7 linked regions of the Oryzias latipes genome follow. The protein of the gene in region 4 interacts with the protein of the main gene of each other region in a pairwise test. Links are inferred from orthologs where the notes say so. Each region holds a gene or a part of one and is shown on either strand. Other genes may lie near its edges.

Region 1 (4,163 bases), on a different chromosome or scaffold from region 4:
GGACAGAGGATCCTCCCACAGAAGAAGTTACAGATCTGTCAGAACCAGAGGTCTTGCTTTGTTGGTGACCAAATACTTATTTTTCAAGCATAATTTACAAATAAGTTCTTTAAAAATCAGACAATGTGATTTTCCGGATTTCTTTTTTCTCATTTTGTCTCTCATAGTTGAGGTTTACCTATGATGAAAATTACTCTCTCATCTATTTACGTGGGAGACCTTTCACAATTGGGGGCTGACTGAATACTTTTTTGGTCCACTGTTGATCTGGCGAAAGTCTTGAACAGGATAAGATGCAAAGAGGACACAGATTCATTACATCCTGAGCAGCTGATTTCTTTTAAAGGTCTTTGCAAAAGTGGCTTTGAAAAGTTGGAAAGAGTTCCTGCGATGTTTGTATTTAGTCACTTACAGGCCAGATTCATAGTTTGATTTAAAAATGCTTGGATTATTACTACAGAAGGCTTGGAAGTCCCTAATAAAATGCTCCTCTATGTTGTGACCTTCAGATGACATCCTGGAAGCAGTGGGCTTTAAATCGGGGTCGTCCACTCCTCAGAGGTCCGGCTCCACTGCAGGTCTCCACAGACCCAGGCTGAGCATTGACTTTGCAAGCCCAGCCAACGATGTGCCTCAGCTTAGCTCCTCCCTCCCGGGATCGCTGTCCGGCATTTCCCCCCTCCTCTCCCCGCGGCAGGGATCGCACACCATGGACTTCTTTGAAATGTGTGCCAGTCTGATCACCACGCTTGCGCGCTGAGGTGTGTTGACCTTTGCTGTCAGCAGAATGTTGGGTTGAAAGTATCTGCCGATCTGGGAGGTGGAGAACTAAATGTAGTGTTTGTATAGCGTGCAGAAAGGAAAGAGGGAGACAAACGGTCATTTTTTTGTGTCAATACTATTGTTCGGTCTGAGAAAACAGAGCCTGAGATCCCACTCTGCTCATGATGTCACTGAAGCAGAGAAGCGTGAAGGAACAGGTCAGTGTCGTGTCAAAAACAACATCTGATGGTAAAACCTGCAGCGGTGTCCACGGCAACACCACTCCATCGGGGGTTTTACTAAAGAAGCTTTGGTTATGTTTCTTATTAGAAAGCTTTAAAAGTGTTGACACACAAGCATCATTTATTCATCACGCAAATAATGCAATTATTTAGGTATCAAATGGTTATTTATTTTTGAAAAAAATTACAAAGTTTGTCCTTTAAACATTTCATTAAACCAAAGGTCAATCTGATTTAAAGGTAGAATGTAGATAAAAACAACAAAACAAGGTGCATTATCGCCGTGACTGCGTTAGCTGGAGCAGCAGAGCTTGTCGACGTTTTTTCCTTTCGTTTGTTCAGGAGCTGCAGTGAGTCCCTGGTGTCGGGACACAGGCGTGATTGTTCACACAACAGCAGCAGTTACTAACTAACACGCAGCACGTCATCTGTTTGTAAGTGCTGCTCGATTAGCACAGTAAAGCCTTTAGCCACCGCTCCTACGGGGGGATGTGGGCTCTCTGCAGGTGGAAAATGGGTAAATCTGTACAGGGCACGGAGGAAATATCAAGGTCATACCCCGCCCAGTGACCCCGAAGAGCAAAAATGTTCAAGCACATTTATTCTACGAGCATTCTGCAAGGAAACCATTATACGAAACGTAAGGGTAAGGTGAAGGGGAGGTAGGTGAGACGCAGGCGTGTCTCACAGATTTTTTACCCCAGGACAAAGTGACATTACTTCTACATCTAAGCGTATCACACCTCAACAAACAGTAGAGTGTAGCGTAAGGTCATCGTACAACAGCATCACCCGCATGTCATGAGTACGTGGAACTTACATCATCACTACGACTACTGTTCAATAGACTTATCACACCCGTGGCAATGGTACGTTCCATTTTCATGACATCCCTGAAGGTGGCGTCGCGAGCCTGAAGGGAACTGCAAGACACACCTGCGCTCCCCTTAAGATGCAGCCCCTCCTCTCTACGACCCTCCATGGGCCCGGACAGCCCAAAAACCCGCAGCACCTGTAGCCTTTAGATTATGAAAAATAGTTCAGAAACACACTGAACCCTATTGTCTCCCTTATCCAGTGTGTAGATAGTGGACACAGAAGGACAACGGTTGGGTGAAATGGTGTGTATGTCCTGCAGGAGGAGATAAGCCACAACCCCCTTTTTCCAGCTGCCTGAGAAAGTGCAACTCATTGATTTGTGCAGGTGGAAATGTGTGACCTGATTGTGTGTGCGTGTGTTTCCTGGATTTCTTCACTGATGTTTGGTGAGCTGAAGTTGAAGTGTAGACGCGTGGAGCTTAAAGAGAGGCTGCAGGGGTCGGCCATGAAGCAGAGCGGGGTCAGAGGACTGCTCCGCCTCCGCTCGGGCTGCACTTCGAAACCTGTCTCCAGGTCAGATTGGCTCTTCACTGCATCACACTCCATCTGTTGTCTGTGTTCACGCTGATGTCCCGTTTCCGCTCAAACGCTCATCTCAGAGGCAGAGGATGTGCTGCAGTGCCTGTTAGTTTAGGTTGTGTGGCTGACTGAAGGGCTTTGTTGTGATCATTTATACAAATGACAGTGTCACTTTAGTTTTGCAAAATGTTTCTTCTAATCTCAGACTTAGTGTGTAGCGGCTCAGAGCCTCTCTGTTTGAGTCAGTCCGGCCTCAAAGGTCGCGCTGCTGATTCCGGCTGCAGCATCTCAACATTCTCTTTGGGTTATTCTGGCAAATGAAAGTGGAGCCCTGAGCAAGTGAGAGGCAATAAGTCCTGGGGCCTGCTTTTGATGGGGTGAACATGCAGGGTTTGTTGCAGCACTGCTGTCCTGTTCTCTGCTGCTGAACACAAGTGGAGCGAGGGCTTTTTCACAGCCGGTCAGGCCTCCGCTGAAGCTGCGACCTTCCTGGGTTTCCGTCTCTGACTCTGCTGCCTTTCTGCTCATGCACACATGCAACGTCCGTGCACACCTGCCTGTGTGTGCACGGAGCAGCCATCCCTCTGCCAACATGGAAGCACGCCTGCTTCATGATTACTGTCAGACACAGCAGCTACGCAGCCACAAGCGGCACGCTGGTTCTGGAAGCTGGTCTGGAGCAGAACCACATCCGACACCAAAGTGAGTGGGGAACTGAATAGCCGTGACCTTTAACCCCTCCCTGTCTGCCCCCTGTACACGGCGGCTCCTGGGGGACGTGCACAGACGTGAACTCTGGATTGGTTTTGCCGTGCGCTGCATGATCCTGCTGTTATGATTTGCACTTTAATGAGTATTTATTGACAATAAAGACAAAGATACAAAAACAACACTTTTGCTTCTCAGGCTTTTGTCAACACAAACGCACACTGGTGAAGGCGAACACACCCCAGATGCCCTCACCAGGCTATGATGGAGAAACCTGGCAAAGCAAAGGAATCCGGGACAGAAAAAGGATTCCTAAAAGGGTGGTCCTGGTATGAAGACATCCAGATGTGCAAAATAACAGTCTGTGTAGCTTATTTCCATGCAGTTACAAATAATGACATGAACCTGACGCATTAAAAGGAGTGTGTACTTAAATAGCATAACGCTGAATGTTTCACGGAGGACGAAGAAAGGAAGAAGAGAATGAACGCGCAGAAATAAAGCTGACTGTGATCAGGCTTGACAAGATACTCTGTCCGTTTTCAGGCAGGAGCTCAAGGACGGGTCTTCAGGATTCTAACCCTTGACAGTGGGACAGTGTTTGGAACAGAAGTTTAGTCTTTTTATTGTTGAGCAGATCCTGTAAAGTTCTGCTTCTCCGGTTTACATGGTTGTATAAAGACGAGCCTGAATGTTCACCCGCTCGTTGGACGTGATGGTGTTTTGAAATTCCTCTGATCCAAAGTTCAAAGTCAGAGGGTCATTTTCACATGTGCAGAGAGATTTCCAGCATCCTTAGTCCACACGGACGACGGGCTGCAGCAAACAAGTGAGTCCAGGTGCCTCCCACTTTCAGGGACGGTTTTCAGGGAGGTCGGCGAAAACTTCGGGAGGAGGTAAAATGATGGCAGTGGCATCGAACTCCTGGGCTGCACCGTGCTCAGGCCTGGAAACGATCAACGACAGCATGAAAATGACTCACATTCTCCTCCGATACCAGCGTGGTGATGCAGCGATGACACAGTTCATCAAACCCACAGCTCATTATGGAAA
Region 2 (3,771 bases), on a different chromosome or scaffold from region 4:
GTTTAAACATTAGGCTGCTTTTATACATTAATGTATACAATTTATAGAAAATTGTCTAAAGACTAATCTACATCATAATCACTGACCCAAACACATTTCCCAACTTTACTTTTAGTTCATTCAGAAAACCATCATCTAAGGAAATGGGTCACAATCACAGCTTACTGTGTGAACTCCCAGGGTTCTACTAATGTCTCTTGGTTTTACTCACGTCTCATCCCTAATTTGCTTAAAGGAAAAGATCAGTGCTTAGTTGGTCATGCCTTTCACTGTGGTCACATTTTAGCTAAATCATGTTGAAGAAACAAGATCCAAAAAATGATCCAAAAAACTACAAGATCATATAGATAAAGTATTTTTTTTTTTTACACAATATTTTTTTGGTCCCACTAAACTTCTGGGTCCTTATCCATGTACTTTAATTGGGCTGGTATAAAATATTTTATCTCTATTTATCAAACAATATCTTAATCAGCCCTATCCTGAAAAAAACAAACAGATTTTATGACTTACACCTGAAGTTGAAAATAAGCAAATAAAGTTAAAATCATAAACAAAATGTTACCAACAGTAACAGATTTCTCTTTTGTTCAGATGCTTTAGGTACCTGTGAATATATAAAATTGTTAAACAATCATTAATAACACTCACACTTTCATATTAATAAATATTTATTAGTTATTTTAGTGAAAATGTATATAAAACCGAATTTTTTGCAGGGGAGGGGGGAGTTCTCCTCAAAATATTTTGAATACTGTGTGTATATTAACAGCTAAATATTACTGGTTGTAATGTTGAGAGTTTTGGTCTATTTTGGAGATTTGGAGATGAACATTTAGGATGCTTTGGAAATGTGTTTTTAAATTTAAACCTTATCTGAAGAAAGTATGTGTGTTTTATAGCAAACCTCTGCAGATCCTCTCCAATGGAAGGAGCCTGACATCCTTCAAGTGCTTCAGCTGTGGAGAGAGAAAGTGTTCAAGTTGTGCGTCCAGCTTCGCTCTAAAGACATTGAGACGAGAAGAGAAAAAGACAAAGTTCTTTTTGATGTATGAAAAAAGTCATTTGTTCTTCAAACTCTGTACATTTCATCAGTGTTATTTTTAACCAAAAAACACTTGTTCTGTCTCAGGTGAGATCCACGGAGCAGCAGCTCCAGCAGGAGCAGCACCAGAACCGTCTGCTCCAACACAGTCTGCAAGACAGGATGGCAGAGCTGGACCTGGAGAAGGTAGAAAAGGAGGTTAGCATCAGAACGTCTGAGCTCATAAAGACACTATAAAGATGTGTCTGCATGTCGCTTTTCTAAAAATATGTTGTTATCAAACTAGACACTGAGGGAAGATTTAACAAAAGTTGAGAGAGAAAATGCTGAGCTGAAGTCACAGAACCAGAGAGCAGAGGCTGAAATCAAGATCCTGATAGAAGCTGTGCAGAGGTAACTTTTATTTGATACAAATTGATTTTCATTTCTGTATTTCCTCAATGGTATTTATTGCAGTTTTTTCTCAACAGGTTCCAGAAGGAATTTGACCGCAAGACCGCAGAAGTAGACTCTGCTAAAACAAAGCTAAACACTTTTACCCAGAGGCTCTCTTTTGCTTCTAGAAGAGTGGAGACCATCCAGTGTAAGGCTTCTGGGGTTAGCTTGTTGACAGAAATTCTTCCTCATAGACGTGCATACAACATTTCAGTGAATACTGTTTTGGTTCTGCAGGTTTGGTCATGAGGCGAGCGGCTCTGCAGAAAATTGAGCAGGCGTGTCAACCACCAAAGCAAGAAAAGAACAGGTATAGGTTCACAATCAGATGATTGTCGTGCACAAACAGACCTGATTGGATAATTAAAAATGGTTCACATGAGTTTTTCCCATCAGATCTTATTTAACTAAATAAACCCAGTTCAAATAAATATTTGTTGAACTGGGACACTTGTAGTTTTGGGCACAATGACATCAAGCACTTTTATTTTTTTGTTTATTTTTTTATGTTTCATTTAAAGTGTAAAGAGTATATGCAATCATATTTTCTATTTGTCTAGATTTTCTACTCAAAATTAGGTTCACGAGTATTTTTGTTTTGTTCTATGGAAACAGTGATCCGAGATTTTGAACAAAATAGATCTTCTAAATATCACTGCATAATTTAAGACGTGACATCATTTTGCATCAAAAGCAACATTTCCCTTCAACCCTGTCAAAGATTTGAATTATTTGAATTATGAAAATTTAAGAATTCTTTGAGAAGGGTAAAAACTGTATTAATAACAAGTTTATATGGACTTGATTGTCTGTTTTATTGATATTTTTAACTTTGCATTTTCTTACAGTTCGTCTTCTTATAGTATTTTTTGTCTTGCAGCTTGACAAACTTGCAGACGGAATACGGTCTGATTTGCGAGGAGCGAGACAGGCTGAGTCTAGAGCTCAAAAGAACCCCAGAGCTCATTGAGAAAGCTCTCGCTGATCTGAAGGAACAATGTGAGATCATGTTTTGATTTATGACTTTTCTGGAATCCATGATTGGGATTAGACTTCTTCTGTCTGCAGATGGGAGTAAAGTCAGGCAGCTGGAGCAGGAGCTGGAGCTGAGCTGCATGGAGGTGAAACAGGCTCTAGCCGGTAAAGAGAAGGCGGAACAGAGGCTGCAGCAGATCCAGGCACAGCTGGATGAGACCAGCATCAGCTTGGAGACACTTCCCTGTGAGCTGCTCCACCAGCAAGAGCGAAACCAGCAGGGTGAGGCAGCGACTTGACTTTGAACGGAACTGGCCTTTTCTGGAAAGGTTCTTGTTTTGATGCTTCAGCAGCCTTACGGGGACCCGGACACTATGTCTCCAGCTGATCAAGTGGAGTCAACCATGTCAAACTGAAACTTTTGTTAAAAACTGATCAGCTTTGAGAAAAAAAGATATAAAGAACATTGTTCACATTCTTATTGTTCATGTCCTCCTGACTACCAGAAATGTAAAGTTGTCCATTATAGAGGGTATTTTAAACCCCAATATTTCCCAACCTCTCTACTACTAAATTTACTCATCTGGTATCTAAGAGGACATTTAAGGCTTTTCAATGTTACTAAGTGGAAAAGGATGGGGCTTATTTTTTTTCTCTGGTAGTTGGAAGAATAACACTTTTTTAAATATCTGGAAATCAGAACAAAATTTTGTGTAAAATGTTTAGGATATGTCTTCATATAATGTTTTTATTTTGCTTTTTAATTAATAATTTATCCAATTTTTTATTATTTTGTGTCAAACCTTGTAAAAACGTAACACTACTGGATTCCTTAGCTTCAGTTCTTTTTGATTTCCATATTAAGTGATGATGCAGGCATCACATTTACCGTTTACCATAAGTGTTTACTTTCCTTTAGAGGAATTTTTATTTATTTTTATTATTATTATTATTATTTTTTTTTTTTTACAAAAAATAGTACCTAAAAAGGAAAAAAAGTGAAGAAAAATACCACAAAACCATCCAACTGTGGAGACTAAAACCCAGATATAGAGGGAAGGAAAGCTGAAGTGCTGATTCTCTGAATCATTTAGGATTGTGTTGGTTGAAGGCAGAGGGCTGAAGAGGATGTCTGACTGGCAGGTCGGCATGCAGGCATCCACATTAGTTGGAGCAACAAACAATTGATGAGTGGATTATGATTTTGGCATGACACACTGCTGAGTTGATGAGATGAATGATTGCAGGCAGGTGTACAGCCTGAGAACCTGCCAGGCAGCAAAGGAGAGAGGAAGAAAGAATTACACCCAACACTT
Region 3 (4,798 bases), on a different chromosome or scaffold from region 4:
TCAGATGGGAATTTCTAATGAACTCCTGCTGCTCTGCAGGAAACATGTCCTAGAAAAAGACACAGGTTTTTGGGGGATTCTGGCTAAAAACGGCATAATCATAAATGAAAAACCACTGGGTACGCTTTGATAAATAAATCAAACAGTGATTAGAGCGGGACTTTAAATTTAAATGTAATTGTAATTAATTAATTTAAATTAGCTGCAGTAGAGAAAATTAGTGCAAAGGTGTCCATTTTCATGTGAGTTTTAATCACTTCTGCGTTCATGAAGAAATCAGCTTTAATTTCTACAAATCCAATGTGCGTTACAAGATCATCTCCACATTGAATCAGGTTTGGAACTCACACACACATGACGGAAAAAAGAAATATTCAACACTGACATTCCTACACAGCAGAAATGTGGCTCTCTAAGGGAGGGGTCTGCCAGTCTGCAGATAAGTTTAAACTGCAGACAGCATCTCGTCTTACTAACAGTTTCACTGCAGCTGCTGTGGACACCGATAGTTGAGTTACACAGATGACCTGCCTGCTTTCAAAACACCCTTAAAGCTTTAGCTCCATACAGCGTACCCAGGGACTTTCTCCCTTGTGTTGTGCCTACAAAAGCATGAGGTGCGCATGCCAAGAAAATACAGGGAGGTTACAAAGGAGGTGGGAACATTTTTTTAAAGTATAACTTGACAAAGATTTCATTCAGAAAATCGTGCCAAACTCAGCTAAGACGTCACCACTGCTGTAACTTAAGCAGCGCTTAATTTTGAAAAGACAAGAACAGCAGCAAGACATTAAACACCAAACCTCAGCATTATGGCAGGAGTTTGAAGAGCAAAAGTCACGTCTAAGTTACATATAAAGCTCAGTAATTGTTTGCTTCTGATAAAAAAAGTTACAGGTTATAATCAGTTAGACTAGGCACAAGCCTGGAGGAAGTTAAAACCCGTTCTAAGGGAACCTTTGCACAATTTATTCAGTACTGTGAGGCTTCTGCTATTTCCTTTTGTTTATGTGTTGAAAGTAAACACTAACAATGGAAGCTGAAATGTACCGAAGCTTCTTAAAAGAGGAAACTCAATGTTATGTAAGCGGAGCATATTTTCACGGGGTAGGGCCAGCAGTGCCTGCTTCTTCATGTCACTCAGGACTTCCACACACATCCATGCCGGAGCTGCTGCTCCTTTGGGACAAACTCAATACAGCTGCAGTCTCGTTAAAAAAAATAAAACTTCAAGAATGATGCATAAAAACCACGTGGTAAGCCTGAGTTTAAAGCAACCGTGAAGTTTCAGCCTATTGCACGCGTGCGTAAATCTGAACTTTACGCAAACAGCCGCATTTCTGATGCACAACAGCACCGTCAGTTTTCTGCTTTACTCACCGATCGCCTTCAGTCCAACAGAACTTTGCCGTCTCCCGCAGTGAATTCGGCGTGAAAACCCGCCGAGTTATCCCGCAGCTCCAACTTTCAAATCCCAACTCGCTGAGGAGGAGGAGAGACGTGTGCGCGCATCCCCACACACACACGGCTGCGCATAAACACACACAGGTCTAGAATTTCCGCTTCAATCTTACAGCTTCATGTTTTTCTTTTCATCTAAACATAAGAACGTCAACTGATTTTTCAAATGTGTTATTATTTTATAAATATACATACAACCTAATGTTTGTCGTCAATCCACAGCATTATTTGTATCGAAGGGTTCTGCAAATTCACCGATCTCAGCCCATGAGCAAATCTCGCGAGACTTGCCGTGTTGTGGCACAGCTGACTCTCCCGTGGGTGGTACAGGCGAGCAGAACCTTGAGGCTAAATAATCGAATATAAAGCGCCTTAAATTTAACCGCCGTGAAGGTCCGGACATACAGTTTTATTCACACCATGGCTGAAACAGATCCCAAATCAGTGCAGGACCTTACTAACGTGGTGAGTTTGGACCGTCAAGCTAGCTAGGACTAGCTATATGGATGTAGCTAGCAATGCTAACTATACTGCTAACAAATCAAATGCAGGTTGCATCTAAAGGAGTATTAAGTTTGATTCCTTTTTGCCTTTTCCCCCTTTGTTTTACCACTTGACACCTAAATTCTGATCGATCTCACTAAATATTTATTAGTTTATCACCATATAAAAGACATTGTTAGCTGATTAGCACTTCATCCTGACTAATTTAATTTACATAAATCTTCTTTAATCAGCATTTTCAATAACAAGTATATGAATTTACATTTTTATTGTAATAATAATAATCAGCAGTTCTCGCAACACCCAGGTTACTTCTGTTGGTGTGGATACCAATAGTGTTGCCATGGAAATGAACCAAAACTAAAGGTCTAAGTTGCACCTCTACCTACTAAATCACAGACTGTATTCGATTCTTCTGAAACATTAGGTGTTGATTAGTGTGTTGACTGGAAGATGAAGGTCTTAGCTCCTTTTTAGTGGTTTTTCTCTCACATGCAGCTATGTCCAGAGTGGGGTATGTGAGGAGGGGACTGAGAGGGCGGGAAGCGCTTTTGGGCCGCTCACAGCTTGATCTTGTACTGTTTCTTGTTGGGTTTGACAGATTAAAGTTTGTGGCCTTCTTTTGTTTTTCTAAAGGTCCAGACGCTCCTGCAGCAAATGCAAGACAAGTTCCAGACAATGTCAGACCAGATCATCGGGAGGAATATCCTTTTTTGAAAGCCAGAGCTCTGATGGTCGTCTTTACATTTCTCATACTCTACATCAAATGTCCCGGTGTCTTTTTCTACAGGACTCCAGTTTGCTTAGAAAAAAAAAAGATTTGCCTTAACAGTGTCCACTTGATGAGATGAGCACACGAATCGATGACCTGGAGAAAAACATTGCTGACCTGATGACCCAGGCTGGTGTGGAGGAGGCCGAGGCGACACCAGAGAAGCCGAAGGAGAGCCAAGGATCATCATGAAGGTGAAGAAAAACGGTCTACCCCTGTAGAATTTCTTTGTTCTGGTAGATTTCCTAATCAGCTTTATTTTCTGTCTGTCCCACAGGGTCAGAAATGATGTGAAGTCAAAGTTCTTTACCGATGACTTCTGATTTGGTGTGAAATGCTTTTTTTAAATATATATATATATAAAATGGTTTAACGGTTTACAGTTATGTCATGATGTGAGAAGTGGAGTAGTAGTAATCTGAATTAGTGTGACCTGCCCTTCAGAATTGTGTATTTGGTGCCCTGACCTGGACGTTCGAGCCGCCAGCGTCGGTTCTTCTCTCCGGTCCGTGCTTGGTAACGGGCCAGCAGAACCTCATCCCAACACGATGAACCGCGAACACCCGGAGCTCGCAGCGCAGCACTGTTGGCAACGAGATGCAGAATGCATTCCATTTCTGATTTTCTATTAAAGCGATGTACGGAGCAGTTTCTCCTTTTTGACCAGGTGCTGATAAATAGACCACGGTGCTAAGAGTTTCTACATTTTCTCTTATGAGGCAGAGTCGTCTGATGCCACAGACCTTTCATAACTACTGAATTCATCCGATCTGCAGGTTCAATGCTCTTTGTTGTTCATGAATTTGTTGGATTCTGACGTGAAATGAGCAGAATTGGAAATGTGCCACTTAACGAGTGTATAACTAAGATTTTGCCAAATTGAATGATTAAAACATCCCTTATTTTACCGCATGGTAGGAACCTTTATTCAAGTGTATGCAAACAAAATGTAACAGACCGTCTTCAAACCAAAAGTAGCAGTAAACATCCATTAAAGTGCAGCTTGATTATTGAACTGCAGTAGTAGAACCTCAGCACTTCATAAACATCCCCTCAATACAATATTCATTTACTCTACATGGGATAAAGCAAAAGGTCCCTGAGCTGCCACTTGGTGTGAGTTTATACGTCTGTGGAAGTTCAGTTTCAGAACTCGAAGTCGTCCTCCGTCATGTCGATGGCCCAGGCGAACTTTTCCCGTTGGGTTTTGTTGTAGATTTTTTCTATAGGCACCTCCATGTTCTTACACCTGATTAAAAACAAGAACAGAAAAGCGTTCAACCACAAACAACTGAGTATTACAACTGCAGAAGAAAAGTCTTAAACATACAATGGGGTGAAGAGAAACCTTGAGTTTATCGTCCTGAACGTTTTTCAAGCCAAACTTCACCAAATCGTTGCAGAAGAAGCATTTCTCATCTCTGGTTTAGCACCAAACCCCACTTTCCTTTGGTACAAGCAGCATTTCTATGAATTCTGAAGTCTTGGAACAATTGGCTGATCTCTATAGAAATCAGGTCGGTCACATGGTGAAACGTCAGATCAGTAAACTGGAGGATCTGTTGTCTGAATGAGATCAAGTGACCACAGATCCTAAGAGCCCAGAATCAAAGTTAACGGATGGAATCTGGACATTTCAACACTGCAGCCTAAACCAGAAACTTAACAAAATGTGTTCTTTACAATAAAAATCTATTAAAACATTTCTGTTTTTGGGTGTGTGTACGAGCTGGATTCGCAGTAAAATAAGGGTTTGAGTGACGGGGCTGTTCTGCCCACTCAGACGTTTCTGAGGATCGCTGACGACCATCAGACCGAGCTGGAGGTCTCAAGAGAAGAACCGCAGCAGCGGTGGAACTCTGCCGTCGGGGTGAAGATGGCGTTTACCAAGCCACAGATATCCGAGGGTCCAGATAGTTGAGCTTTGAGGTTCCCAGAGCAATCTGCTTGTTCTCCTCTCGGTCAGTCGCCTGGACCTCCATCTTCAGCAGATGCTCCTCACAGCGCTTCACCGCCGCCTTCTTTCGCTCCACTAAACTAACGAGACGCAAACAAACGGGG
Region 4 (3,512 bases):
CAGTCGGTCATTACTGACACACAGGAACGCACAACAATCAGACAGCAAGACTTAAATATTTATGTTTCAATCCATGAATGCCAATGTTCAAATGTTTATTTTGCTGTTATTTCGCCAGATTCTTCTTGATTAGAATTTTCAGAAAGAGTTGGATGATTCCAAGTTCTATTATATGTAATGTAATAAGTACAGAACAGTAAATACTGATAACGATATATGAAAAAAAGGGGTTATCTAAATTCTTCTCAGATTGATGAGCTGAAGAGCTGCATTGAGGAGCGTGAAGAGGAGCTGTCACGACTGAGAACAGCAACAGTGAGTCCTTCAAGGCCTTCATTGTATCACTAGTTCAGGGTTTGTCTGTGTCCTCAGCAAAGCTGTCACTCCAACTAATCCAAAAGTACTGGTGTGGATAACAGACGGCTGAGGAATTTACACGAGGTGGCTATTCTTGATTTACCTCCAATTGATGCTCTGGAGCTGAGTCGTATGTTTCTTGTCAGGGCGCCACAGACTCAGAGAAGCGAGTGCTGTGTCTGTCAGCAGAGAACGAGAGCTTGAAGCAGAGCCTGAGCGTGACACAGGGCCTCCTGCAGCAGCTCTCCACCATCCCTTCCCAGTCCAGCAACATGCTCATCAAGGTAAGCGGCATCGAACACGTGTTGATGAACACAGATTTACTCATACCAGCGGCTAACTTTGTGTGGCAGGAAAATGAGAATCTCCGCAGCAGAGTGCAGCAGCTAGAGAGCTCCCTGCAGCAACGTGCCGAGCAAGTTTCACAACTGGAGAGAAGGAGTGAGCAGAGTGAGTGGAGAAGAGCGGAGGAGCTGAGGAAACGAGAGGACAGAATGAGGGAGCTGCAGCTGGAGCTGGACAGAGAGAAGGGAAAGGAGCCTGTTGTAAAGGTAAACCATGCTACAGGATATTTGAAGGTGGTTTGAAAAGAGGCATTTGAGAAACATCAGTCAGCAGCAGTGAAGTTTGCCATCCCTTGCTGTATTTGCAGTGGAATAACAACCTCCGTTTTTATCCTTGGGAGATAAAGCCTCTGTATTTGGATTTCTATCCCCTTCTGCCAGTATGTGACTCAGACTGTGGAGGTGGAATCAGCAGCAACAGTGAAGCAGCTGAATAAAGCCAGACAGAGGAACGAGGTATTGGCTGAAAGGCTGTCCAATCAGAACGAGCACTGCAGGCAGCTGGAAGAGCAAATCCGAAAGTCTGATGAGTACAGCTGCAATCTGCAGCACAAGGTAGAACAAAACGAAAAGAACTTCTCTGCATCTAGAAACACCTTTTTTATTAACTTGCGTGTTCGATTTCTTGTGTTTTAGTTCAAATTGTGCAGAAAAAAAGCTTATTAACTCATGTACATTTTACTGCTGACCACTCAGACTTTAGAAATCTGGATTTTAGCACTGAGTATAGCTTCATTTCTTCTTAAGAGAAAAAATCACAAAAGAAAAGGAGACCAAATGTTTTGCGAGCAACCAATGTGCAACCTTGATCAATTTTATTGAAAGAAGTGATTGCTGAACTGAAGCTGCACACTGAGACAGTGGGAGTGATAAGCTGCTGTGCTTAAACCTTCACAGATCGCAGCATATGAGAGAGAAATCACCAAACTGAGGGAGGAACTGTTGAAAGAAATTGGACATTTGGAGGAGAGGAAGGAGGAAGCAGTGAGAGCTGCTGCCAGCTGCTCAGCAGACCACTTTCAGAACCTGCAGGATCAATTCTTCAGTGAGTACGCTAAATCACCGCCTGACGTTTTCAGATGAATTTCAGAAAGCAAAATGCTCTTGTTTTTGGATGAGATTGTCATCTGGTGCTTCACAAAAACATCTCATGTTTTGAAGGACAACAGCTAAATTTCCAACAAAGACATTCGGAAAGGAGAATTAGGGTTAAGGTGTCAGTTCCTTTTTTTCCAGCTTTACAGAAGCGTCTCACAGCACTCCCTCCAACTTTACGCTCCATGAAGACGGATTACGCCAGTCTGAGGAGCCAAGTTCGAAACTTCTCAGAGTTTTATGGAAGCGCCATCAATGAAGCGAAAAAGCAGGTGTGTAACTTCACGCAAACCTTGAAGGTTGAGCTTATTAAACGAACATGATGAGCAAAGTTCTAAGACGTCTTTTTCCATTTTCAGATTGCAGCTGCCATTAACCAAATGTCTGAAGCCAACAAAGATCTTCTGGAGAAGTACAGAAAAGAGGTTGCACTGCGCAGGAAGTACCACGAGCAGCTGGTGGAGCTCAAAGGTGCACACACAGAATGATGGAGATGGCTTCAGTGAGGATGCTCTGTCACTGACTAAGACATGTTGCTGTTTCAGGCAACATTCGCGTTTTGTGTCGCGTGAAGCCTGTGCTGAAGGAGGATCAGCATGAGGAGGGCCAGTCTGTGGTCGTTGCCATAGACCCCAACAATGAATCCTCTCTGACTGTGTTAACAAAAGGAAAGGGTCGTGTCTTTGAGCTAGACAAGGTCTTCCAACCACAGGCCACTCAGGAAGAGGTAAGAGAAGAGGAGGATACTTTTTCCAGACTGCTATTTTTATAATTTTTTTTTTTTTTAAATTAGATCTTTCAGGAGATTGAGCCTCTTGTGACGTCAAGCATTGATGGATACCATGTCTGCATATTTGCATATGGACAAACTGGTTCTGGAAAAACCCACACTATGGAGGTACGCTGGCTCACAAAGTGATTAAAAAATCCCATGAAGTATTAAGAACAGGACTATTTATTTGTCTCTAGATTAATTTAAAAATATGTATTCAATAATCTTTTAGCATTTTAAAATTTGGAGTTTCAATATCATGGACAAATGAATATTACGGAGAAAAGAACTTCCAATGAAAAGGTTATTGTATTTTTTTTAGGTTTGAGTGAGGCAAGCATAATCATTTAATCCCATTTTATCACAATAAAATCTAAATAGATTCCATTTTGCACATAGAATTTTTCTTTTTTGTTGTTGTTGTAAAAATGAATATTACCTTTTGGAGTTGCCATGCTTAACAGTGCATTTTATTTAGTGGTTGGTTTGTTGGATTATTTCAAGTAATAATAACCAAGTAATAAAAGAACCAAAAACATTGATGTATCCAACCTTGTTAAAATATGACATAATTAATTGATTGGGAAATAAAGATATTTAATAAAGCTGAGACTGTCTTCTTGACATAACTACTCCTAATCATAAATAGACATATTTGCACTTCTAAACACAGTACACAGACATGAAACACTAAATGCATTTAATGTAATGATTGACAAATGGAGTTGTTATGATTTTTTTTATCTGTATTTGAAATGTTCGTGTATACATCTTTTTTACGTATTGAAGCACTGCATTTCAGGGCACCGTGGAAAACCCTGGAATTAACCAGCGAGCTCTGAAACATCTCTTTCATGAGATCGAGGAGAGGAAGGACATGTGGTCTTACAATGTCTCCGTCAGCTCTGTGGAGATCTACAACGAGGTGTTGAGGTACTTTAGCT
Region 5 (4,829 bases), on a different chromosome or scaffold from region 4:
TATATTTTTGAACAGTACATAATGTGAGTAGCTTTTTAAAGATGTCGCTAAAATTGGAAGAATTCACAGTTGATTTGGCGTTTACAACAAAATGAAAGACTTACACCAGAGTGCAGATTGATTAAAAAAATAAACATAAAATACAAGCACATGCCTCACAAAATGCACAAAACTACACAAAAATGATTAAAAAAAACTAAAAACTAAGATTTGTTTTAAAAATGGACGCATTCCGTTACTTACACTATGGGTCTATTAGTGGATGGAACCTGGGTAATAACAGAGCTAGATGTTGGCGATGGGAGAGCTGGCTGTATTACAACATTAGCGTCCGTGGTTGCTAGAAGTACATTGGGAACTTGGAGGGATGCAGGATGGACTATAGTGGATGTTGGCAGTGAGGCAGGCTGCAAAGTTAAGTCCTGAAAACATCATACAAGACCTTAGCTGCAGAAATGTTTAGTGAACACCAGCTTAGTTAGTTACAAGAACTTTTTGCAAATATTTTTTTGGTTGGTTTTAGGATTTCCAAATCAAAATTAAGAGCAGTGTTTGAATAAAAAAAAAAAAGAGAGTGGGGTTTGAAAATAAAAAACAAATAAATCGAAGAATTCAAGCAGGTGAAAGAAGAAGTACAATTTCTATAGTAAATGAATGATTACAGAAACAGGAGGATTCTTAATTATTCATGTTTAATAGCACTCCTAAAACCCATTAGAGAGCTAACTAAACAGAAAAAAATCTACCTTGTCATCGTTTGTGGTGGACTCAGGATGAGGAAGGGGGCTGTTCCGATGTGCATCTACAGCTGCGGGTTCCTCAGTTTTGTTGCGTATGACTGGTGTAGCAAGAGGTGACAAATCCAGAGGTAGCTTTGGGAAGGTTAAAAGAAAAAGAAAAAAAGCAGATATAAACTCTGGACTTCAGAGATCATCCTAAGAGAAGATTTGACAGAAGTTACAGAACAAACTCAACCTTCTTCAAGTCATCTTCAGCTGCTTTTTTGAAGTCATGGTCAAAAGGACTGGCAAGTTCGTTGAAAAGCCCGACTTCCTCGCAGTTTTTCAAAAAGCGAGTGGGTGTCGGCGTTTGATCTGTAATAGAGAAAAGAAAAGATAAAAGAAGAAAAAAATCACACTTAAGGAGGCAAAAACACACAAACATCTATAGACATAAAACTTAAGAAGGACTCACCAGCAATTATGATATTGTCGGTCCTCGCTGGGCCAAACTTTAGTGTCATCTCGTGTTTGTGTCTGTGGACAGCCAAGTGGTCTTCATTTGTAAATCTCTGAGCAAGGTAAAAAGGAAATAAATGAATAAAAAAACAACTTTATTCTGCATATCCTTTGAGAGACAACAATGACTCACAATGTTAAATATGTTAAAATACTAACAATTTCAAAAAGTAAACGGTGCATTGCTAAAATCCAAAGAAATCAAACCCTAAATAAACATAAACATAGGCTTAATGTGTGTTTTTATGTTTATTGTGACTGTGCGCGTACATTTACCACAATAATTACATATTTTTACCCTTTAGCCAACTTTACTTTGGCACTAGAAATTAAACAGTTGATGTGACTTCAAAAAAGAGATGCTTTTTATTATTTGACCCTTTTGTGAATCCTCAAATTGGATGCAGACTCAGGCTTTTATTAACTCCAGTGATTCTGTTTTTAAGTGGATTTATCTGTACCACAAATAATCACAAATCCTTCAAACAGTAACTTCAGCTTTTAAAATGTCTGATAAGAATGCACAAACTACGTTTTTTAGTTGAATTATTCGATATTATCAGCAAAGATAGCAAATGTATGTAAAATGTACACATTGAGTACCCAAATATTTGGTTACCATATTTGATGCATATATATATATATATATATATATATATATATATATATTAAAGTTAGTCTCTGGAGAAATACAACTACCGTATCTCAAAACATGTAATATTATAATACCTTCAACGTTTTTAAATAATCTAGAATGTAAAGATGTAAGCTCAACAACTCCACCATATAAATTTACAACACATTGGAATTGGTTTTTTTCCTTCTATTTTTCAAAAAATAAAAATAACTGAATCACTAACTAAAAAGAAATAAAAACTATGAAGAACTATGTCAGCTTACCTGTCCACATCCTGGAGCAGTACACTGGAAGGGTTTGTCATCACTCATATTAAGAAATTCTTGCTATATTTTTGTCCTACAATAAATGAATAAAAACAACATATTTCATCTCAATTAACTTAATTTCCATTTAAAACAGAAATAAATTCAACAGCCACAGAAAAGACAACCACGTAATCGTGGCTGATCAAAAGGAGGGTTAGAGGGTTAATTTTTAGATAATAGTAGAAATGACTCGAGACTCGAGTGGGACTGTTAAGGGCAAATCTAGTGAAAGGACAAATAAGATTTTGGACAAAGCCAGTGAGGAGGTGGGGTTGCTCTGTCTGTGCTTATTTATTAGCTCGGTGATGCAGTGCAGGGTCGTTCGGTGTGTGGTCGTTCGGATTGTGTATTTTTCAACACGAACAAAGAAATTATGCATGTTTTTTGTTGGAAAAAAAAGTTTCACGTTTAATTCCGACTAAAGTCATCACACAACAAAAGCTACATTATGATCCGATCCTCCGCTCCAGCCTGAGCTGAGATAACGCACAGCCGTCGCCATGTTAGAACCAACAAATCACTAAACAGATAACCTTTTGGTATTTAATTTGAGGGGGATTAATTTCACTTGGAAGAAAATAACACCGATTTCAGATAAAGGGTGCCCTTTTTTGCATTTGTAATAAAACTCGCTTTCAATTTGAGTTGTTACTTACCCCTTTAGCCACAAACGTTGTTTTCCCAAACCCCAAAGTATCGCGAGAAAACAATTTCTTCTTCCGTAAACGTCACACTAACCCAAACGCCGTAAACATACTAATGGACACTAATAAACCCATTTACCCATAAATTTACCCATTTACCCATAAATTCAATATTTTATAAATAATTGCCATCATTTCTACTGCATTACAACTTTATTTACAGTCTACGGAACCACCTCAAGTTAACATTCCTTTTTTACTCAAAGGCCAAATTTCTTTAAAACAATTCAATTTAGAGAAACATTATCGTGTACTCTATATTAAATTAAATCACAAGGAACTATTTTTGATTGAAGCAGTAAACAAACCACATGGGTAATTTATATTACAAAAAAAAAAAAACATTTGGTCAACTTTGTTGCCAAATATTACTAATTTACTGACTTCCAAATGACAATTACTTTTTAACTGAGAATTTTGTTCTGATGGACCGTTTTAGTGGCAACTCATTCATTTGACAAACCTCGAAACCCTGTTGGGGTCGGGAAATAAATTCAAAAACCCAAATTATAATTCAATCTAGATTTATTCAACGTGATTTACAAAAGCAAGTAATCACTTGTTGCCTCTTACAGTTCTACTTAACTGCAACTGAGTTAAGTGCTTATGACGGTGGACCCCATATAACTCTCAGAAAGCAAGTTGATTCACAAGGGGAGAAGATGTTCTGACATTTGTGAGAGCAAACTGCTTTCAGTTACCATGATATTCCAGACATAGACGTTGCTGCCACTGATAAATACTCAAATGCATGTATTAAATTCACGCACATTGTTATGTTTGTACATGTTTTGTTTAATTTTGACTGTGTCGGAAAGACTTGAAAAATTTACATTTCCATGACACCAACACTGAACAATTTTAGAAGCCACAATAAAATATGTAGTCACATCTGTAATGAAAGTGTTGGGAGGGCAGTGCTTTACATTGCAAACAGGATCAGAAAAGCAACCATCAAACAGAATAGTCCCATAGCTTCAGACAGGGCGAAACCCAGGATGGCATATGAGAACAGCTGCTGCTTCAAAGATGGGTTCCTGCAAACAAAAAGAAGTCAATAAATGTAAAGAAAACATTTGAATTGTACCCCAAAAAAACATGTACACAGTGACCAAATGGCAACAAACCTGGCATAGCCAATAATGAGACTACCGAACACTGTTCCAATTCCAGCACCAGATCCAGCGACTCCGACTGTAGCGGCTCCAGCACCAATGAACTTGGCGGCGGTGTCAATGTCCCTGCTGATGGCACTGGTCTGGAAGCCTCTCAGTGTGACCTGTGTGAGGGGGCTTTGTGGCATCACAGCAACAGAGCTCTGCAGCGAAAGACAAAAAATGAAAACATTCACTTCAAAGAAACACCACAGACAGGCATGGGAAATACAGTTACTGTTAAAAAAACACCACAAGTAGTCAATAATACAAAAGTGTTTATAAACTTTGTTTATCCTTACCTCTGTTTTGCCATCAGGCCTGGAGAGCACAGAGGCAGACATGGGTCTGTAAAGAGCCCGGGAACCAGCACGGACCTGCGGATCAACAAAAAAGAAAAGGATCAGTTTAGTTAGGTTGGAAGTTTTGTGTTTTAGGTCCATATATGCAAAAAGCCTTTCAATGACACTTGGTAAATGTTTATACAGTTGAATATACACAGTTTTGTGTTATGCAAGCATGGACGTCACCACAATTGCTGGTGTCAAGCTTACAATTAGTTTTGTTTCTGTCACACTTTAATGGACACAAGGACAAACCTGACAAAAATCCCTGTTTCCTTCACAAAAAAACATGCCTTTTTATTCAAAAGCAAGTCATATGACCTTAGAGGCATAACATACAACACATAAGTAAAATAAAATAAAAATCCCAAACATCTAACTTGACCATGTATGCATTTGTCTTCAGGGTCTTCCATTGAGTTTACCCAGTCTTTAAGCTAAACT
Region 6 (4,534 bases), on a different chromosome or scaffold from region 4:
AACCCCATCTCCACGGTGACGGAACTCCGCAACAAACACGCACAGGGAGACAAGATGGCCGGCATCAACGTCCGCAAGGTCGGCGTGCTTTCCTTTTGCTCCGTCTGTGCGCGGTTGACAGCTTGACAGATTTATTTATTTTTTGGACAGGGGGGGATTTCAAACATCTTGGAGGAGCTGGTGGTGCAGCCCGTGCTGGTTTCCATCAGCGCGTTGACTCTGGCCACAGAAACGGTCCGTAGCATCCTCAAGATCGATGACGTGGTAAGACTCAGAACTGGATTCCCTTTTTCATTTTACAGAAGTATGATTGGAAATTAATTTTTGTGTTCTGGTTCCAGGTGAACACTCGATAGGTCTGTCCGGTTTCTGAAGCCCGTTTGTTCTGCGAGGGATCAGAGCATCACGTCGACAGCAGTCTGCTCCGATTTCTGCTGTAGTTATTGCATTGCCTAATTTAATAAAAGGCTGTGGGGTTTTTTTTGTTGACACTGCTGCCTCTTTTTGTCTTTCTTTCTTTGTCTTTGTCTTTATGTTGCACTAAAGTGTAGTACACAGATTTAGAAACATGTTCTGGTCTTCATTTTTTTTAAATTGTATGTCTTGAAAACCGCTAATTTGAAAAAAGTATGTGAAATATTAACGCAGAGTTAACACGTATTTACCAAATAATTTCTGCAGCATGAAAAGATGCATAAAATCTGGTTTCTAGTACTTATCAGACTAATGGTAACATTATAAAACATGACCTAAATGTAAAATGTTGATTTGCTGTTATAAAATAAGGTTTTCTCTTGATTAAAGAGTAATGACAGATCTTTATTTGTCATTGTCACGCATACAATAGAATTTAAAGTGATTCCTGGTCAGTCTAACACTCATACCTTAAAAAAAATTAGACTCCAGGCGCCGGTGCCTCTGACCTCATGCTCATCCAAGACGTGGACGGTGCTGCTTTTCTATAGAATTGGTTAAAAATGTAAAATCTTTAGATAGAATTTTTGTGTGTCTTCAAAAATTGGGTGATGATCATGGCCTGGTTCAAAAAAAAAGTCCTGCTTCTATGCAAAATAAATTCAATGCATAAGTAATTTTATTATTTGAATTAAGATACTTTTTTTTATTTAAGTAGCCGTTTTCATTCAATTAATCAAATAAGAAAAAAATATATACATTTTAATGGTCAGAACCTGTGTTTACTCGATTCATTTTAAGCGTTCAGTTTAAAAATGTACACGTTTCCAACGCTTTTATTTTGTATCAGAGCTTTGTTCTTTGCTTCCGTTTTACGTCACTTCCTTCCTAACGATGCTTCTCCGTTGCTAAGAAGCCAGCCAACCTGACAACGACTGTTCCCTCCGGGGAACGAACTAAGTAACAGAACCTCATCAAGGCGCTTTTTTAAAAAAAAAAAACTGTTTCAACAAAAAGATGGCGAATCCTCACCGGACGAACGTTTTATTAACTTCCTGTCTGAAGGCGCCGGTGGACCCGCACACCAAGGCGCCGCTTGCGTCATACGAGCGCGGGGCAGTCCTAACGCACGCGACTGCAGGCCAGCTGGACAACCGGGACTATGAGAAAGAGGTAAACACATGTTTAAAAATATTTCACAATAAAAGTCACACTTTCAAAATAATAATCTTTCTAAAAATAGTTAAGACAACTCTGTATTTATTGAGATATATAGAAACTTTGTATACACTTTAGATTGGAGGTTGTTATACTATATTTTATTTATTTATTTATTTATTACAATGTGAAGGTGGGTGAAGCTGTTGTTTTCCTGTAGTCTGAGTGCAGCTCCCTCTGACCTGAGACAGGTTATGTCCAGTTAACAGGATGTTGACAGTTTCAGGTCAGCCAGGTGGAAGGGATTTGATCTGTCATTTGTTGTCCCGTCTATTTTTGGATTTCTGTCTTCACTAGATTACCAGAAGTCTTGTTGGGTCGGTAATCTCTTTTATATCCTTTTAACAGCAATGACCTTCTGTGGAAAAAACACCTCGTAGCAAGTTGGTCTAATTTTCAGAAACGCTTCTGACAAACATCCTTTTTAATGGAGGCCGGACACTTTAGGAGGAGTAGATGTCAGCGGAGCTCCTTCATGCTGAGCTCACCTTTGTGTTCCAACCATATGGCTCTGATCATTGTGACTGCAGGATAATGAGCTTAGTCCTGAAGACCTTACTGCCCCTCAACAGGGCAGCAGTGTTCTTTAGGGCATAGAAGTGAAAACAAACTTTTAATAAATTCATGTAGGAAGCCTTCAAATACCTGTTAATTAACATGATGATCCTTGAGTGACCTTTGGGCATTTCAGCTGGAGTTTTGGGACTCGGGCTCGGATTTCTGTGATGAGGACTGTCTGGGGATGGGAGGAGCTCACGTGGGGGGCAGCTTCAGGGCAGCCGTCGACCGCCTGGACCTGAGTGAAATCTTCTTCTCCAATGAGGAATACTACAGCAAGCTGGAGGAGCTGAAGAGGGCCCACGAACGCACCATGGCAGAGCTGGAAAGCATGTACCAGCAGAAGCTGCAGCTCAGGTCCGGTGAAGCTTTTGATATGAAGGCCCTGGATATCGGTCACAGGTCAGTTGGGCCGGATTAAAGGAATTTCTTTGACAGTTTAACACTAATTTTGCAAACCGAGACTATTGTTGTTGTTTTTTTATTTTATATATTAACCATATTTTCACTGAGATTAAGGGACTTTGATTATGAGATATTCATTCCTGCAGAAATAAAATAAAATAATTAGCTCAGCTGCCTACAATTGAACATGTTTTAGGGTTGCTTTTAAGAATAAAAAACAAATTACCTGGAAAGCTTAAAGATTTCCTCTTTAAATTTTTTATTGTTCGCATGTCCATTTCTTTTTTAGATTATACTGTCATGCATGGAAGAAAGCTTCGGCCTATCTTATGCATGTTTTGCAGGATTCAACCATTGACTGTAAATGAGAACTGAACTGAGTGACCCCTCCCTCCTGGCGTCCCAAACAGGCCAAAATCGCATAGACTTCTATAGAGAAATAAACAGAAGTTCTTCAGTCATTCTATTTTTCAGAATAACTATTCTTGCTCTGAAACCTTTTTTTTTAAAGACCCACTTCTATGAAAACTGTGATTTTCATAGAAAATCACAGTTTTGTGGTGTTTTTAACATGTTCTTATGGCATTTTTCTGAAGATGGAGGACAACTTTGAAGAGAATTAAGGTTATAATTGCATTTCTGAGTATTTCTTTATTCAAATTGCTGTGAATCAGGAGCAGATGAGACAAAAAACAGTTTGAAAAAGAGGATATTTGTGATGTAGAAAATACGCTGGGTGGGCCAAAAGCTCCCTGCTCCATTCTGAGCTGGAATCTGGATCTAGACTGTACGGTTGAAGAGCTTCACCATCATCCACAGTAATGTTAGGTTGGGGGTGTAAGGGCCTGAAAGGTAGCGAGAGAGAGTGTAAACAGAGAACTCTCTGCTGTGGGTGACAGACGTCATCTTTAGCTTAACCCCTAACCCAAAACTCAGAGGTGAATTTCTAATGAACTCCTGCCACTCTGCAGAAACTTTTAGCCAAAAAAAAATTATTTTGGCTAAAAACAGCATAATCATAATTGAAAGACCACTGGGAATGCTCTAAAAATCAAAAGATTATCATAATTCTCAATAATCTTAGTTCTTTCATGATATTTTTTCTGTTGTAAAGGTTATTCAAGCTATAAGCTGACCCATCAGATGCCTCAATAAAATTCAGCGGCCAAAGTTTTGTAAACTTGATTGACAGGTGGTAGAAATGTGGACTTCCAACAGTACCGATTGGTGAGAGTTGTCGCCATAGAAATGCAGGGGTCCAATTTGGACATATCACTGCTGACTCCAACACGGTGGTGTCTGTATCGCAAAAAACAGACGACTGAATTGATTACATTTTGTTGGAGCCATAAGTAAACCATTTTCCATGGGTGACGTCACATTCACTCAGTCCAGTTCTCATATACAGTCAATGGTTTTAAGTAATTGGCTTTGGGCGGGGTTTAGTCTGTGCTCGAGGTGGGTCCAAGTCTTACTTGAGCGGGATTCAAACGGTAGTTATTTGGAGAGTCGTCTAAGAGTTCATAATTCTTTTGAGGCAGAAAAAAACCATATTGTCTTCTGTGGAAAAGGAACTCGATTATAAGAAATACCTAACTTTTAGGGTCTTCTAAATCTTTCTACACGTATTTAACGGCGCTTTTACTTCCTTGCCATATTGACCCAACTCCACTTGAATTTTTTCTTTTTTTTTAAACTAGAAGGAGCTGCATCTCCAGAAGAAAATGCAGGATTGAATGCTAAATTGCTGGAAAAAAAAGAAACTTAAAGGCTAATATTAACACAAAAGAAATGATCAAAGTTGACCATAAATAAAGTGAAAACTGCAGAGTCACAGAAAAGATGTTTTTGTAAAAATGCCAGCGCCGAGTGTTGAACCGGCGAGCCTCTGCACCAAGAATTCCCCTGTGTATTTCAATGGAGGCAGAAATCATGGAAA
Region 7 (4,107 bases), on a different chromosome or scaffold from region 4:
CCCCCGCGTCTGTTTGTGCCTTTTATGTGTTCGGATGCTCCAGTAAATAGCAGGAAGACATTTTGATGATTGCGTTCTGGCTGGCTAACGTTGGATGTGGAGGTTTTTGTCGCATCTCGCCTCCGGTTTACAGAAAGAAAGAAAAAACCGAGCAGCCATGGCTCGTGTGGTCCCGCCTGTGCAGTCGTCGATTCTATGATTCGCTCCTGTTGCGTGAATTCGTTTTGTGTTGCGAGCGGAATGGGTGGTTTTAGGCAGATGGATTGCATTGCATAATCTGCTTCGGAAATACCAACATGGCGTAGTGCGCGCTGACTAGAAACTGCGGTGAAAAACGGAGCTCACATTCATCCGATCCTGCAGAAGATGCGCGGAGGCGCATCTCTTATCTGTTTGAAGGGAGGCTTTTTCAAAGTTTCTCACAGGCTTTCATTCTAGTCAAACGCATGTTAATCACCAAAACTACGTAAATGCAGTCTGTTTTCCTTTGAAAATCATTTTTGAGTTTTTTTATTTTTATTTGACAGTATTTCATGTTTAAGCCGCTCTGTAAATGATACTGGAAACCTGTTAAAATGACATCATGTGCTGTGCTGCATACTGACTTGACAAAGCACATGTAGGGCAGTAGGGTTTGGACTGTTTGCATTGGCTTCTGTTGTTCTCATCAGATATGTGCTGCCAATCCCTTTTTCCCTTAGATGCTTTCTCTTTTAGGAGGGGCTCTGTCAAAAAAATGAAAATAAATGCTTGTTTTTTTTTCTTTAAATAGTTGTTTGGGTGTAATGGGAATTATTTATTCACCTGAAATTCAGCTCGCTTTGTGCTGTTATTCAAACTATCTGAAGCATTCTCTTCCACAAGGTCAGAGCAGATCATTTCCATGGCTTTGTTGGAAAGTTGACTTCTTCACTCAGACATTTGGGAAAAATAATGTAGTAAACAAAAGACATATTTTTTCATCTTGAGTTGTTTAAATGTATTTTTGTCAGCCAGAATGCAGAAAACATTGCAGTGACTTTCATTTACATTCAAAATTTCAATTGCATTTTCTCCCAAAACTTTTGTGATCATGAATCGACTGCAGTTTAAATTGTGTATCATGACATTGAATATTGACATTTCTTCTACTCGTATCAGTTGTAGTGATTTTCCACTAAGTCTTAGTGTGTCACAGAACCTGTTATGCCACTTTTATGGTCTTATGTTGTATATGATCACTCTTTATTTGTATTGTTTTGTGACAAAATGTATTTGTAAAAAATGTATTGTAAAGCATATTTGATTATTTTGATTTAGCTTTTAAAAAATGTTTTTGTTCTAATTTGTTAAAATAGTCAGCACATTTCAATAAAGTATTTTCCACACTGTAAGGCGAACTTAAAGGCCTTCGTTTAAAAAAAACAACAATGTACTTTACAATCTGAAGCGCTTTACATATAGATACATTCTGGTTGTGTTATTGTGAATACGCTAACATGGCTATTGTGTAGCTTTGCCTTACTATTTTTTTTTAATCATGTTTCAGTTAAAAAGGTTGGGATTTAGTGTAGTCACAGTAACATTTGTTTTAGCTTTATTAGTCTTTTTTATGTTGCAAACAAGGTTGAGAGTTACAGGTATCATGAATATGCTAACGCTTCTACCATGGCTAACATTTAGCATGCTATAAACAAGTGCTACAGTTACTGTGAATGCAAGTCTGACTTACTGAACTTAAAGGCCTGTTCACACCGGGACGAATTTCGCCGGCGATTTTCGCCGACGTTTAACGCCTCGTGACTAAACAAAGGGCCCCAATGAGAGTGTGCACACCGACGCGAAAAAACGCCAGGCGTTAAAGCGTCAAAAAAAAAAACGCCTCGGGTTCGTTTTTTTTTTTCGTCGCGTCGAAATCTACTCGACCAATGAGAACGGCGCTTTTGCTCATGTGTCTGGAGCTTCTGAAATTACAGTAAAACACAACTTGGGGGCGCTCAAACACAAAACTGCCTTGCTGAGCACACATACCAGCGAAGAAGATAGACGCCAAGTAGCGTCTACACAGCCGCGAAGCAATAATGACGGACATTCTAAAACATCCCCGAACCAAGTACCAGTTGGAGCTACTGGTGCTTGAAATATTCATGTTTTCTTTGTTTGATTCTGACAAGCGTGTAAATACTTGCTCTCTTCTTCTGAGTGAAAAGCGACTTTAAGAAGCGTAAAGTTGCGCAGCGCCACCTTGTGTACAGGAGTATTTCTGTTTTACATTAAGCGCCATCTAATGTCAGGGAATGAAATTGCATGTTCACTCCACTCATCGTCAGCGAAAATCGCCTGGGTGTGAACACAAAAAACGTGGCGAAAAACGCTGGCGAATAACGCCTGGCGAATATTCGTCCCGGTGTGTACGGGTCTTAACTCTGACTCTTTAGTCTCACTTAATGGCCTTATAGTTTAGTGTGGTTGACAGTTTTGGTATCTTTTATTTACCTTTGGCACATAAATATCAGTATTTTTACTCTAATTGTATTATAATGGGTAAGAACTTGGAATTTTATGTTACTACAGAAATATTTCAACTTTTTTGATTGACTCTTTTTTTCTGTCACTCTGTTTTCCTCCACGTCTTTTCCCAGGCTGTCCTCAGGTGGGGCAGTAAGCGGGTGGAGTGGAGCAGGCCGCGGTGCCCGTCCCTCTGCACTGCATGGCTGCGATGGCGCCCGCTCTCACCGACGCCCCAGCTGAAGCTCACCACATCCGCTTCAAACTGGCTGCCCCATCCTCAAGCCTCTCGCGAGCCAGTGGAGAGAACAACAGTAACGCCAGCAACATCCTCATCCACAGCAGCGGCCCCGCTAAGTGCAAGGTCACTTCTGAAGAGTGCCCCCTCGACTTTTGTGGTGGTGATCAGGAACAGCAGCAGCAGCCTCAAGCAGACTCTGTGTCTCAGGCCTCTGCCCTGGGAAAACTCCAGCCACTGGTGGCTTCCTATTTATGCTCTGATGTGCCACCCGTCTCTGCAACTAAGGAGTCAATCAAGCTGCAAGGAGTCATTCTTAAACAGTCCGTGTTGAAAAACCACAGAATACTGCCCACCTCCCTGCTCAACGGTGGGGGAGACTTCATCTTGAGGAAGAGGCAGGCAATCGAGCTCTCTGGTGGACAGTTAAAAAGCCTCATGAGTGGCAGCACCAACGGAAGTGGCCAGCCCATGGCACCTGTCAATGGTCTGGCCAAGAAACTTGCCACTGTGTCAGGCTCTAGCTGTGTGGTTGCAGTGAATGGTGATAAGCCCGCTGCTGCTGCCACGGACTCCCAGTCCCAGAACATGCCGCTGGAGTCGGAAACCATATCAGGGCATACTCCTGTGAAAGGAACCCTCAAACAGAAGCATTCCACAGAGGTTTCTCAAAACACAGATGGAGAAAATTTTGAATCACCAGTGCTTCATTCTGCTGCACTTTCCCCTCTTACCTACGACAACTCAAACTCCTCTGAACAGTTAAATTTGGAGGAATCTGGTTCACATGCACCTTTCAGACAGCTTCAGGGTTCTGACAGAGAGAGACCGGGTAGCAGCCATCAGGGCTTTTCGCCTTGCACCACAGCGCCGCAGCCTCCTCTGCCCGGTGGTTCATGCACAGACGGCCTTGATGCTCAAGTTAAACAACGTACACTTCTCAACAGCAGCCGCCAAGCAGAGATTGAAAACAGGTTACGGCGCCTGCGCAAACGTCTGCAGGTGGTACAGGCTAAGCAGGTGGAGCGGCACATTCAGCAGCAGCTGGGCGGCTTTTTGGACTCGGCCCTCAACAGACTACTGGTTGGTAATCGTAAAACAGAGGCTGTCACTCCTTCAACTTCATGGAGGACCGGGCGGCATTCTTCCTCCAACAGCAGAGATTGCCTCAGTCGCTTTCTGAAAAGTGGCTCCATGCCCTTGGAACTGGAGAGGCTGTATTTGAGTGGAACAGCAAACCTCCATTCAGCTGAAAGCGCCTTTGACTCAGATGTAACAGAAAGTAGTTCTGGTGGGGACTCTGACCTGGAGGATGAGGAGCTGTCCAGAGTGGACATTGAGCAACGGCATGTCAAAATGTAAGTGATGTCATCATTCATAGA

The links.
Region 1: the proteins of kinesin-like protein KIFC3 (region 4) and prkaa2 interact in binary tests that used the Homo sapiens proteins (3 or more experiments, as listed by UniProt). The two-hybrid records come from large-scale screens. The link is inferred for Oryzias latipes from reciprocal best matches to the Homo sapiens genes KIFC3 and PRKAA2.
Region 2: the proteins of kinesin-like protein KIFC3 (region 4) and coiled-coil alpha-helical rod protein 1 interact in binary tests that used the Homo sapiens proteins (3 or more experiments, as listed by UniProt). The link is inferred for Oryzias latipes from reciprocal best matches to the Homo sapiens genes KIFC3 and CCHCR1.
Region 3: the proteins of kinesin-like protein KIFC3 (region 4) and hsbp1 interact in binary tests that used the Homo sapiens proteins (3 or more experiments, as listed by UniProt). The two-hybrid records come from large-scale screens. The link is inferred for Oryzias latipes from reciprocal best matches to the Homo sapiens genes KIFC3 and HSBP1.
Region 5: the proteins of kinesin-like protein KIFC3 (region 4) and atf2 interact in binary tests that used the Homo sapiens proteins (3 or more experiments, as listed by UniProt). The two-hybrid records come from large-scale screens. The link is inferred for Oryzias latipes from reciprocal best matches to the Homo sapiens genes KIFC3 and ATF2.
Region 6: the proteins of kinesin-like protein KIFC3 (region 4) and fam161a interact in binary tests that used the Homo sapiens proteins (3 or more experiments, as listed by UniProt). The link is inferred for Oryzias latipes from reciprocal best matches to the Homo sapiens genes KIFC3 and FAM161A.
Region 7: the proteins of kinesin-like protein KIFC3 (region 4) and KAT8 regulatory NSL complex subunit 1 interact in binary tests that used the Homo sapiens proteins (3 or more experiments, as listed by UniProt). The two-hybrid records come from large-scale screens. The link is inferred for Oryzias latipes from reciprocal best matches to the Homo sapiens genes KIFC3 and KANSL1.

Annotation. Positions count from the first base shown.
Region 1 is NC_019862.2:3,542,152-3,546,314, forward strand, and holds the end of prkaa2 (5'-AMP-activated protein kinase catalytic subunit alpha-2), read left to right. Parts: intron 1-509; coding exon 510-760; 3' UTR 761-3,292; downstream 3,293-4,163. Other genes in the region: FYN-binding protein 1, read right to left, coding at 3,963-4,056. UniProt on the Homo sapiens protein: Catalytic subunit of AMP-activated protein kinase (AMPK), an energy sensor protein kinase that plays a key role in regulating cellular energy metabolism.
Region 2 is NC_019872.2:16,058,559-16,062,329, forward strand, and holds part of coiled-coil alpha-helical rod protein 1, read left to right. Parts: intron 1-902; coding exon 903-1,049; intron 1,050-1,132; coding exon 1,133-1,243; intron 1,244-1,331; coding exon 1,332-1,438; intron 1,439-1,515; coding exon 1,516-1,628; intron 1,629-1,717; coding exon 1,718-1,790; intron 1,791-2,360; coding exon 2,361-2,479; intron 2,480-2,548; coding exon 2,549-2,737; intron 2,738-3,771. UniProt on the Homo sapiens protein: May be a regulator of keratinocyte proliferation or differentiation.
Region 3 is NC_019864.2:28,978,951-28,983,748, reverse strand, and holds hsbp1 (heat shock factor-binding protein 1), read left to right. Parts: upstream 1-1,764; 5' UTR 1,765-1,881; coding exon 1,882-1,926; intron 1,927-2,601; coding exon 2,602-2,668; intron 2,669-2,804; coding exon 2,805-2,929; 3' UTR 2,930-2,931; intron 2,932-3,014; 3' UTR 3,015-3,883; coding exon of another isoform or gene 3,884-3,986; 3' UTR 3,987-4,440; downstream 4,441-4,798. Other genes in the region: DNA topoisomerase I, mitochondrial, read right to left, coding at 3,884-3,986, 4,625-4,774. UniProt on the Homo sapiens protein: Negative regulator of the heat shock response. Negatively affects HSF1 DNA-binding activity. May have a role in the suppression of the activation of the stress response during the aging process.
Region 4 is NC_019874.2:16,693,298-16,696,809, forward strand, and holds part of kinesin-like protein KIFC3, read left to right. Parts: intron 1-249; coding exon 250-315; intron 316-503; coding exon 504-641; intron 642-710; coding exon 711-908; intron 909-1,082; coding exon 1,083-1,256; intron 1,257-1,598; coding exon 1,599-1,746; intron 1,747-1,937; coding exon 1,938-2,068; intron 2,069-2,155; coding exon 2,156-2,267; intron 2,268-2,341; coding exon 2,342-2,523; intron 2,524-2,589; coding exon 2,590-2,694; intron 2,695-3,370; coding exon 3,371-3,501; intron 3,502-3,512. UniProt on the Homo sapiens protein: Minus-end microtubule-dependent motor protein. Involved in apically targeted transport. Required for zonula adherens maintenance.
Region 5 is NC_019879.2:22,381,649-22,386,477, forward strand, and holds the start of atf2 (cyclic AMP-dependent transcription factor ATF-2), read right to left. Parts: upstream 2,916-4,829; 5' UTR 2,840-2,915; intron 2,215-2,839; 5' UTR 2,187-2,214; coding exon 2,139-2,186; intron 1,292-2,138; coding exon 1,195-1,291; intron 1,095-1,194; coding exon 976-1,094; intron 873-975; coding exon 747-872; intron 423-746; coding exon 244-422; intron 1-243. Other genes in the region: atp5mc3 (ATP synthase F(0) complex subunit C3, mitochondrial), read right to left, coding at 3,810-3,924, 4,015-4,205, 4,344-4,418. UniProt on the Homo sapiens protein: Transcriptional activator which regulates the transcription of various genes, including those involved in anti-apoptosis, cell growth, and DNA damage response.
Region 6 is NC_019859.2:4,112,866-4,117,399, forward strand, and holds the start of fam161a (protein FAM161A), read left to right. Parts: upstream 1-1,260; 5' UTR 1,261-1,431; coding exon 1,432-1,587; intron 1,588-1,980; exon of another isoform or gene 1,981-2,323; coding exon 2,324-2,592; intron 2,593-4,534. Other genes in the region: cct4 (T-complex protein 1 subunit delta), read left to right, coding at 1-78, 151-264, 342-356. UniProt on the Homo sapiens protein: Involved in ciliogenesis.
Region 7 is NC_019877.2:19,812,272-19,816,378, reverse strand, and holds part of KAT8 regulatory NSL complex subunit 1, read left to right. Parts: intron 1-2,621; 5' UTR 2,622-2,689; coding exon 2,690-4,083; intron 4,084-4,107. UniProt on the Homo sapiens protein: Non-catalytic component of the NSL histone acetyltransferase complex, a multiprotein complex that mediates histone H4 acetylation at 'Lys-5'- and 'Lys-8' (H4K5ac and H4K8ac) at transcription start sites and promotes transcription initiation.